Linked DNA regions of Oryctolagus cuniculus. The protein of the gene in region 2 interacts with the protein of the main gene of each other region in a pairwise test. Links are inferred from orthologs where the notes say so. Each region holds a gene or a part of one and is shown on either strand. Other genes may lie near its edges.

Region 1 (5,353 bases), on a different chromosome or scaffold from region 2:
ATGGTTTGCTAAGCAAATAGGCACGTGAGGGGGTGTTAGCACACCCAAGAGGCAAAGAAAGCTGCTCTAAACTCCAAGAGCCTGGCTCAGCCCTGCTCCAGGCTCAGTATTGTTCTGATCTCCCAGGAGCTCCCAGTGGGGGTGGCCACAGCTGGGACGTATAGGTGGCAGCTCAGCCTGTGCACGGCCCTGGGCCTCTACGGAGCAAGGCCACACTCTAGATGTGCCCACTGGGGCCAAGTGTGTGCAGGCTCGGGAGCCCTGATGTCAGGATCCCCCCAACCCTGCCCCCACCACCTCAGCTGGCCCAAGTCCTAGCATGACAGGGTAGGGTCCACTCCAAAGCTCCACTGCCTGGTGTCTCTGATGTTCCGTTTTCTGGAAGCCCTGCTTCCTGACTGTAAAGGGAAAACAGAAGTCTGGCTGCACACGTGACTTCCCACGTGGTTCCATGTCACGGCCAGCCAGGGAAGGCAGGCTCTGAATGCAACAATCAATTTAGCAGCCAGGCTCTCTCTCTCTCTCTCTCTCTCTCTGATAACACTGAAAACTTCATCAGTAACAGAGAAAGACCTAAGTAAAACCATAAAGAAACACCAGTATGCAGAATAGCATGTGGCACAGGAGGTTAAGCCGCTGCTTGCGACACCGATATCCCACAACAGGGTACTGGCTGGAGTCCCGGCTGCTTCGCTTCTGATCGAGCGTCCTGCGAACGTGCCTAGGAAAACTGTAGATGACAGCCCAAGTCCGAGAGTCCTTGGGCCTCTGCCACCCACATGAGAGATCTACAGAGGAGTTCCTGGCTCCTGGCTTCAGCCTGGCTCAGTCCAGGCCATTGTGGGCATGTGGGGGAATGAATCAGCAGACAGAGGCAGGCTCGCTCGCTCACTCTCTCTGTTGCTCTGCCTTTCAAATCAATTAATCAATCTTTTTTTTTTTTTTTAATGGCTAAAATGAACACGTCGGAGCTGGGTGTTGGCCTAGCAATGAGAATGCCTGCCCGTGAAGGGCCTGGGTCTAGTACCCACCTCGGCTCCCGCCGCCAGCTTCCCACCATGCAGACCCTGGAAGGCGGTGGTGAGGGCTCAGTGACAGGATTCCAGCCCAGCCACTGCAGGATTCGGGCAGTGAACCAGCAGACAGGAGCTTCCCCTCCCCCTCCCCCTCCTCCTCCCCCTCCCCCTCTCCCACAAAGCAGAAGAGCCGCACCCTCTGAGATCCAGCAATTCTACTTCCGGACCAGCTGACCACGGGATAAAACTGTTTACCACCGATTATGCTCAGACTCAGAAGACTACAGTTCACTTACAGAATAGAAAGCGCTGATTATTTTTGACTGACATGGAAACAATTTCTGTCTGTAGCAAAGATAGCTTTAGAGTTTATGGTTTTATCATACTGCAGGGCATTAACCAACTTTGTAGCTAATGGTAGCTGGCACTTTTTAACTTTGACCTCTCTGCTTCTCATTTTCCCCCAGCTGACTCCCTCATGATTAAATTACACAGTATGCATACATGTGTACTATGTATACATATACACACAATATACATATAGATAAACTACATAAGATAGTAAGTATGCACTAGGGGCTTGCTCAATGAGAGCTGCTTCCAGCACTCCGAGAATGATTTGCCAGGGACATGGTAACGTTCTATTTCTTGAGCTGCTTTGTAAGTAAACGGAGGTGCTTAGTGTACAAGTGTGCTGCAAACGGGCGTTGTGGCAGAGTGGGTTAGACCACCACCTGGATGCCTGCATCCTGTGCCAGTGCCAGTCCGAGTCCTGGCTACTGTGCCTCTGATCTGGCTTCCTGTCAGTGCACCTGGGGGGCAGCAGGTGATGACGGACCGAGTACTTGGGCCCCTGTCACTCTGTGGAAGACATGGATTAAGTTCTAGGCTCCTGGCCTTGGCCTAGCACAGCATTGGCTGTTGTATTTGGGGAGTGAACCAAGAGATGTAAGTTCTCCATCTGTCTCTCTCTCTGCCCTTCAAATAAGATGAAACTAAATTTTTAAAAAAATTTTAAACTTTTTTTTATTTGAAAGACAGAGTTACAGAGAGAGGTAGAGACAGAGACAGAGACAGACAGAGCGAGAGAGAGGGGTCTTCCATCTGCTGGTTCACTCCCCAAATGGTCACAACGGCCAGAGCTGGGCTGATCTGAAGCCAGGAGCCAGGAGCTTCCCATGTGGATGCAGAGGCCCAACGACTTGGGCCATCTTCTACCGCTTTCCTAGGCACGTGAGCAGGGAGTTGAATCGGAAGCGGAGCAGCTAGGACTCGAACTGTGATGTCAGCGCAGTAGGCTGGGGCTTTAAGCCACTGCACCACGGCGCCAGTCCCTAAAAAAATGTTTAAAAGACACAAAACACTCCAGTCTGCAGCACATTCCTTCCGGAAAGCAAATCCTCACCCCACTGCCAGATGGCCTGACCTTTAGAAGCCACCAGAAGCCGTCTGGTGCTAATCTGGGAAGGCACAAGCCACAGACAGAAACACTACTTCAGATACAAAACAAAATGTGTGGCTCTAAGCATCACCTTTCCCAAAACTCTTTGGGGGGGTGGCGACAATTTAGCAATGCGTCTGGGTGTGGCCCGAGGTGCCCCGGGGTCCTGAAAGACAGCCAGGACCAGCACCCATGTCCTAGAGGCTGGAGAAGTTTCTGAGGACTTCTAGGCTCCGAAGCTTCATTAAGTAACACAGAAACCCCAGATGTGCAAAATGCTGGTTCCCGGGCTTCCCTCCCAGAGATGCTGACTTGGGGGGCCTGGGAGTCTGCATTTTCAGTAAATGCCGGCCAGCCAGTCGGTCAGTCGGTCGGGAGCATTGCTGAGGGGGGGATTGTGATGCAGGTGTTTGGAGGCCCTCTTTTGGCTTGGTTCACTAAAACCAGTTTTTTGGCCAGCCTTCACAGTGAAAGCTGCAAGAGCAGCCAGCAGGTCAAGGTCAGAGGGCAACCAGCTAATTGTGGCCCTGGTTGCTGATAAGATGCTTATCTCCCTAGGTTCTGGGCCACAGGGAGTTTTTGTTACTCCTCAGTCATTACCATCTCCAGTGACTGGGGAGGGGGAGCAGGTGGAATAGGCTGGGACGGAATATTCTGGAAGCCTTCCGTAAAGGGAGGCAGGGATCCCTGGGCTTGCTGGCCTCCCCTCTCCTAAACCCAGAGGCTACAGCAATGGGTGAGCGTGCAGCGGGCTGGGGGTTGCAGACAGGGAGCAGGCCTTCACAATGAAAAGCCAGGGGCCCAAGAGCCAGGATTCCAGCCCTGGAGCCAAGGCCATCTGCCCCCTCCTCACTGGCCAGCCTGAGACTGGGACTCAGGCACTCGGGGACCCTGGGGAGGGCCTGGGGCAAAGAGCATCAGCACCTCCCTGCTCCCAGGTACCGGGCAGCTCTGCTGAGTACCTGCACTCGACTTGGTAGTGAGTGGGCACCCAGCATCCTCACAGACCCAGAGAAGCGCTCAAGTAGGAAGTACTCAGCCATGAAAGTGATTCTCAAAATAAATGAGCGCCTTTTTGGTGAGTCACGATGGAACATGTATTGCCTATTATAGACTGAGGTCGAAGTTTGAAAGCCACGGTCTTGGGCATGACTGTTTCTGCAGGCCGCCCTGTGCGTCTGAAACACACAGCCCACTCCCGGGGCGGCTCGGCCAAGCTGTAGAAGCAGCACCCTGCTACGGAGGCGGGGTTGGGGGAGGGGGGGGACAGGGCAGGGGTGGTGGTGGAGAAGGGCCCAGCAGGTGGGCGACCTGAAAGCCAGGCCCTCGCCAGCCTCTGTCCCAGTCCTTGCACCCAGAGTGACACTGGACAGCTGAGCGTCCTCCCTTGTGGACGCGGAGACAACTGCCTGCCCACGGCGGCCCTGCCCAGGCTTGCGGTGCACGCCATAGGCGTGTGCCCCAGGACCCCACACAGGCTCTTGCCTGTGTTCCGAGTTGTGGCTCGCAGTAGTACCCCGCCCCCACCCCGACATCCAAAATAAGATTCCCCTCAAACAGCCACACAGGCTGCGGGGCTGTGGCTCTGCCAAGCAGGAAACCGAGGCTTAGTTTTCTGGCCACAGGTGCCCGGGAGGGAGCTCGATGCTGGGGCCCAGCGATCTACCGCCCTCTCCCTGTGTCCACCCCAACCAGAGCAGCCAGACCGTCCCAGGCCATCCCAGGCCCAGGAGGTGGGGGGCCAGTAGGCAAACCCAGTTGGGGTTTTCACACAGGAAGGAAGCGCACGCTGAAGTGGGGGAGGAGGCGAGGGAGGGCGGAAATGGCAGCTAAGCCAGCACCCAGAGGCAGCCACCCCGCCCCCAGCCTTACACCCACGGCACCAGGAAGAAAAGCAGAACCACTTCAGAAAGCGGGGGGGGGGGTGTGACGTAGTACACAGTGCCCTCCCCCCAAAGTAGGGGCCCCTCCCCCAAAAGTATGGGGGAAACACCACATGGGCAGAGGCTGGCCCAGAAAACCCCAGGTACCCACAGAAAGACACCTGGGAACCCCAAGCCCTCCCCTCTGCTCAGGCAACCGCCAGCCAGGCCTGCCCAGGACGGGGCAAGGAGGAAGGGCGGCAGGGGGCCAGGGGCTTACGTTACTGATCTGGTCCTGGGTCTTCTTGATTCTCTGGAGCTCGGGGGTGTCTGCCACCACGCTGAAGCCTCTGCCCTTGTTCTTCTCAAACTCCTCCTTGTAGCGCACCTGGCAGGCGGGGAGGGAGGGAAGAGGCACAGGAATCAGGTGGCCCAGCCTGTGGCTCCCTCGGAGGCAGCAGCCGGCGCAGACAGGGACAGGGACCAGGAGAAAGAGCCTGGTCGGAATCCCCCGCTCCAAGGCGGAGCGGAGCCTCAGCCGAAAAGCGTTAGAATAAAAATGACAGTGACAGTGACAAGCCACTAACATTCTGGGTGGCAGGCGCGCATTTATGCAGGGTCTTTGGAAAGTTCCCAGAATTGGGTATCAGGAAAACACTACACATGGATTTCAAAAACAATTTTGTGCCAAAACAAACATCATTAATTCCACTTTCCACCAACTTTTCTTAAAATACCCGCCTGTCTGTGTGCGGCTGTAGGTGAGCACGCACCGTTCATTCCACTTTACAAAGAAACTGAGCCACCGGGGCAAAGCCCCTGCCCATGTCACAGGGCTCAGGACAGGATGAAAACCCTTGTCCGCCTGACCCCTGACCCTTGTCTGCCTGACCCCTGACCCTTCACCCCAGCTCCCAGGCCTGGAAACTCACAGGAAGAACATTCTCCCCAGAGCTCCCACGCCTGCCCGGGCCTCACCCAAGAGGGGACGCGGCCCCACCTGCCAGGAGCTGGGGTGGGGATGGCCCAGAAAG
Region 2 (5,793 bases):
GTCCTCACTTCAACTACTGTGTTTACTAGTTCATCACTTTAGCCACCCACTCCCATGGCCACACAGAAGTTACATTTGTGAAACCCCAGGGCACCTATAAAAAGAGATTTTACTCAAGCTTCCTTTGTGGCACTGTAGTCACACTATCACTGATTTATCATACCACATTGTAATTGTTTGTCACTTTGGTAGTAGCTGTGAAGTTTTCCAGGGCAGAGTATTAACCAGGGTCTGATACAGTGTTTTGCACTAGATGTTTGTAGAATAAGCAAAGCAACACCCGAATATACGTAACACAGGAAGTCAGGGAATATTATAGGTAAAGATCACGTGAACCAACCCCTTTAATAAAATACAGAGAACCAGTTAGGAAGTGCACATCACCCACCCCAGCATAACAAATGGTAACAGTTCTGAAAAGTAAACTAGGCTGCTTGCAGTTACTCAGAGGAAGGTCAAGGCCTAAATCCAGAGCAATGTTCTCTCCACCAGTGTGAAATCATCCAACTCTTCTCTCATCAAGAAAAGCTAGTACAAAAATGCATCCAAGTCTAGCTCTGTTCTCACACAAATTATTCAATCTAGCCCACTGTCAGTTTAGATTTCAGGGCAGAGTTTATTAGAAGAAATTAGGCAATTAGGAAACTGTAGATTCCCCTGCCCCTAATTCCGCTATCTACCCCTATACCTCTCCACAGAGGAGCTGTCTCTGTCACACGTGGGTGGGATGCAGAAGCAGGCGGCGTATGGTCCCACTGTGCAGTTCCTCTCTAGTGTTCAGCATGCGCTGTCTCGGCCCTGAGCTCCTCCGACCATGGCAACTTGTTCAGAGAGCAGTGGTGCTACCCTGAGAGCATGTTAGGTCAGCTGCCATCTCCTGAGTTCAATGATCACATTCCAGTCACTGTGATCAAAATACGAGTTATTAGTTGTGGTCAAAGGTAGACAAGAGGCACTAATTGTTGAGGGAATACCCTCCATCAAAGAGGGTTCTAGGAATGACATGTGGAATGCTCGGCTTAAAGTGCTCACTACAACGTTAAAAAAAAAGTGTTGGAAAGGTGCCTACTGGTGAGAAAGCTAGGTACAATCTGAGGGAACAAAGCGTACATAAGAACTCTGCTCACATCATTCCAGCCATGATGAGGGAGAGCACAGTTTAGAGCTGAGTCTCAATTACTAGACCTCTGAATGAAACATATCCCTGACTGGAGACCAGCTCTTTAACTCCTCATGGAGACCGAACAAAACACTGACCACTATGTACGTCTTTTTGCTGTTCATTGTTCCCTCACCAAATAACCTTCCAATCTGAAACCTGGTTTCCTCCATGGATACTACCACTATAAAAAAGTCTACTATGGGCAAGTGAACAGTTTAAGAATGGTCTACAAACTATTTCCTGTAGGGTGGTTAGCAAAAACCTGAGGTGAGATGAGAAATCTGAGTTTCCAAATCTGGCAGACTGAGGCCTACACCCAAGGACAAGAGATCCGTAACATATTTATCCACTGGGCATGATTATGAGATCCAGGTCTGGGGTAGTAAAGGGCACGAATCCATCAGCAGCAATGGCTACCTTCTCCTACAAGTTGGTGGATGGCCTCAGCTGTCACTTGTAAGTCCAGTGGGCAGTGGCCCAACCCTGGCCCTTACACAGGTCTCGGTGACGAAGGAAACAGGCGTGGACCCGGAACCGACGGCCACAGTGGGGACAAGCATGCAGGGCTCCGGCATGGGTCTTCATGTGCTCTGTCAGATGGTGCTTCAGTTTGAAGCGCTTATTGCAGATACCACAGCCAAAAGGGCGAAGGCTGAAGGTCAGCATGATGTGGCGGTCACGCTTTGGCTTCACTGCAAAGCGCTTCCCACACAAGCAACCAAAGCGTTTTCCATCCGCAGGGGGTGCCCCGCCTAGCTTCACGGGACCGTGCACAGCCTGCCCAGCTCCCCCGGGCCCTCCACCGCTGGACAGAATTTCATTGCCATGAAGATCCACTGGTTTCCAGGATGGACCGCCTCCCCCAGATGCTGCCCCTACGCCTGAGGGCAACAAGAACCCCAGCTCCCCACTCCCCTCCGGGTCCCCTCCAGGAAATGCTTTGGTCTCCTCCTTTATTCCTCCAGACTGGGTTCCACCTCCTGACAACTCCTCCTTAGACTCAAAGGGTTCCTGCTTAATGTAGAAGATTTTAGGGGGCACTGCAGCAGGAGCGGCAGGAACCTCAAGTGGTGCATTTTCGCCCTCTGGCAGCCTGCGGGGAGTAGCAGGTACGGGCAAGGCGAGGGATCCGTGAGGACGGGGCAGACTCCCTGATACCCTCTGAGGCTGGGGCGTCTGCGAGAGGGTTGCTGACCCCTGGCCCTCCTCGTCGTCTTCCTCCTCCTCCTCTTCCTCCTCCTCCTCCACCTGAATCTGTAACACCTCTCCCAGTTCACTCCCCTCCCCTCCGATGGGGCTCTCAGTAGATGCAGGTCTCTCGGCAGGAGCGGAGGGCTGTGCTGGGGCCTGGAAAGGGGAAGAGCGAATGCACCAGCCTCCTGGAGAGGATGTGGTGGAAAGAAGTGCATGGTAGGAGGAGGCTCCTCGGGCTGAGATCCCACCACCTGAAGTCTCCAGCTCCTTAAGGATCTCCGAGCACTGGTCTACCACTTGCCACATCTGAAGGCCGCTGGCCACAAGGAGGTGGGCGGGGAGAGCATCCAGTGGCAGGCGGAGGTGCCCTGAATAAATGAGCTGCAGCAGCCCCTCGAAGGCATCGGCTTCGATGACGCTCGGGAGGGTGAGCCGTGGCGCATCGCCCAGAAGCAGCTTGTCGTGGAAGTAGGGAGAGGCGGCAGCCAGCACCGCTTTGTGGGCCCTAAGTTCCCGGCCCTGCACCAGCAGGGACACATCGCAGAACTTTCCCTCCAGTCTGTGGCGGTTCAGGGACTCCAGCAGCGCTGAGCTGTGCTGAGGGAACTCGATCTGGATTGTCCGCGGTGCTGAGCTGCACACTGCGGAGGGGGGCGCGGCAGGCAAAGGCGTCGAGGTCTCCATGGCCTCCTCGGAGATCCCAGAGGGTCGGCAAGAGGAGACGGAGTCTGGGGTGGAACCCACGTGAGAGGAAGGCTGTGGAGCAAAAGAGATGGGGTGCGGGGGTGGGGGGATGTCACACAAGCCCCAGAAAACGGGAACTGTATCTCCGCAAACAAATGCCCCCCTCCCACCTACAAGTAGAAACTCTTCCGGCCAGTGGCTGTGTCTGTATACCAGTCCCGCCCACCAAGAAGACAAAAACAAACAAAACACGAACCCCTGGTTTTAGCTTCCAGGCCTTGTGGAAGATGAGGAGGTCCTTCGGCTACCAGCCTAACCTCACCAGCTCCGGGTCGACTCCCGGCCCGGCGTTCCGTCCCGCTTCGCTTCACTCACTGTGCCCGCAGTGGCCAGCTCCCGGGTAGCCGCAGCCACGGGGATATCACGAGCCCCGGACCCCAGCCGACACGCCCCCGCCGTCACACACGCGGCGAGGCCCTCGCAGCCTCTCTGCAGCTACGGCGCCGTCTCGGGCCGGAAGCCACCCCTCCCCGCCGGACGCCGACGCCGGGAGAGGCGGGGGGGGGGGGGCACAACTGCAGCCAATCGGAATGGGGCGCCCTACAAGCCCTGTGTTGATTGGTTGCCCGGGCGAGAAGGGGCGGGCCGGCGGCGCCAGGGCGCGAGCGGGTGGGGGCGTCTCGGGGAGCTGCGAAGGGGAAGCCGTGGCTCGGGAGACCGCAGCCCGGAGAGGGCGGGCCGCCAGCCGCCCGCAGCGCCGAGGTGCTGGGGGACGAGGTGAAGTGGCACCTTGTGTGCCCCCGGCCCGGCGAGCAAGGCGTTGCCGTCCTCGCCGTCCGGGCCGGGGAAACGGCAGTGCTGGGTCTGGAACTCAGATTAGCTGAGGCGCCGAGTGCTCCCCTGCAGTCCGCACGGAATCGTGCCCTTCACCAATTAAACAAAGCCAGCTTCGTTTCTGGGTTCTCTTATATCCCGTCCTCTTTGCTCCTGGGGGTAAGTGAAGCAAGCGGTGGGTGCCAGTCGGCTGGACTGGGGAAGTCTGGGCCGTACGAACCCCCAGACTGCGTCTCCGCGCGGGGCAGCGCTTCTGTGCGGAGACCGGCATCGGGCAGGGATGTCGGCTTCCCTTCCAGGCTGTCCGCTCCCTCTCAGAAAATTAAAAGTCCTGTCACCCCCAGGCTGAGAAAGTTGGCACAGCGATAAAAGAACAATCTCCGTTTATTAAACATGATTTTTCTGTTTCACCACACACTCCAGAAAAAAAGGAAATGGGGCTGGGAGTGGAGAAAAATGGGCAGCGGTGGGGGATAGAGAAGGCTGGGAGTGGGTTGGGGAGGGAGAACGAGAAAACAAAATAAAACGGGTAGGAAGAGCATCTCCCTACCCTTAAGGTGGCGGGGGGGAGGGGGCCAGGAAGCTCTGTACAGGGGGGTTGCCCCCAGCCCACACACACACACCCCGGATATGTACAGTACAAACCCCAGATAATTACAACAGCCAAAGAGGAGAGGAGGAAGGGGGCAGGAGAGGGGAAGGCTGAGGTGGGGAAAGCAGAGGGAAGGGCACAGGGATAAAATTTCACATATTTACAACTTTTATATAAGTATAAATTTGGCCCCGGCTGGGTGTATGTGTGTAGGGGGATGGGACTGAAGGGGAACTGTCCATACAAAAGAAAGAGGGGAGGAGTCTGGGAAAAGTCTCAATACCAAACGCAAGAAGGGATGAGGGGACAAGGCTGGGTAGGGGACAGCAGTCAGGGAGGAGGGGGTACCAAGGAGGGGCTTCTTCCCTCCCATGGCCTACCCACCCCAAACCCCATCCATCCTACCTCCCCTATCCCGCCAGAGAGCTATGTACAGAGAAACACCGAAAAATTGTGGAGCTGGCGGGAGGGAGAGAGGTGGAGGGAGATTGGGGGGGGGGGAGGATGAGAGGGAAGCCCAGCCCTGTCCTACCTCCCCCAGGGGACAAAGTCATGGAAGGGGAGCCCCCCAATACCCCTCCTCCAACACAGGTCCCCCCACCCTGGGGGAGAGAGACATGGCTTTTCCTAGAGTAAGTTCCCCCCTCCCCCTGGGAGTAGAGACCAAGAGAGAGGGGAGGGGTTGGGGGGAGGGGCTGCATATGTCAGTGTAGGGCAGATCAACAGGTCTGTCCTTCCAACATACGCACCCTCCTAAACCCTACCCCCTCACCCTAACCTCAATTCCACCCCACCCAACACACTGGGGCAGGGGGGGGCATAAGCCCCCTCACCCCGCTCTGGGACCAGCCGAGAGCAGATCAGGTGTGGGAAGAAAGGGAGACAACTCCCGTTCCCCCCTTGCCGCCCCCTCCCTGCCCCGGTGGCCCCCTCCACCCATCGGGTTCTGGGTGGGGAGGGAGTAAATTTAAGAGTGGTGGGAGGAGAAGGAGTTTGTGCGTGCTGAGCCCCCCCAGACGCTCCTGAGAAATCAAGGGGTAATAGGGCCCCCTCACCCGGGGTCCCCTCCCCATAACAAGGGGGGCAGGGGAGGCCAAAATGGGGCGGTGGAGGGGAGTTAGATTGTCAGCTCTGGTTACTGCTAAAAAATCACCCTGAAGTTGAAAGTTTGGAGGTGCCACACCCCCAGGGTGGGGGTGAGGGTCTGTCCCCCAGTGCTCAGGGGAACGATGAGGCAGAGGATGGGGATAGCACCCCGAAGTGAAGGGGTCTGTGTAGGGTAGGCATGTGTCCTGGGGCGAGGGTCCCTGGGGGGGTCAAAGGGGGC

What was found.
Region 1: the proteins of ZBTB9 (region 2) and LASP1 interact in binary tests that used the Homo sapiens proteins (3 or more experiments, as listed by UniProt). The two-hybrid records come from large-scale screens. The link is inferred for Oryctolagus cuniculus from reciprocal best matches to the Homo sapiens genes ZBTB9 and LASP1.

What each region holds. Positions count from the first base shown.
Region 1 is NC_091448.1:23,293,405-23,298,757, forward strand, and holds part of LASP1 (LIM and SH3 domain protein 1), read right to left. Parts: intron 4,708-5,353; coding exon 4,600-4,707; intron 1-4,599. UniProt on the Homo sapiens protein: Plays an important role in the regulation of dynamic actin-based, cytoskeletal activities.
Region 2 is NC_091436.1:135,694,688-135,700,480, forward strand, and holds ZBTB9 (zinc finger and BTB domain-containing protein 9), read right to left. Parts: upstream 3,583-5,793; 5' UTR 3,297-3,582; intron 3,113-3,296; 5' UTR 3,041-3,112; coding exon 1,613-3,040; 3' UTR 314-1,612; downstream 1-313. UniProt on the Homo sapiens protein: May be involved in transcriptional regulation.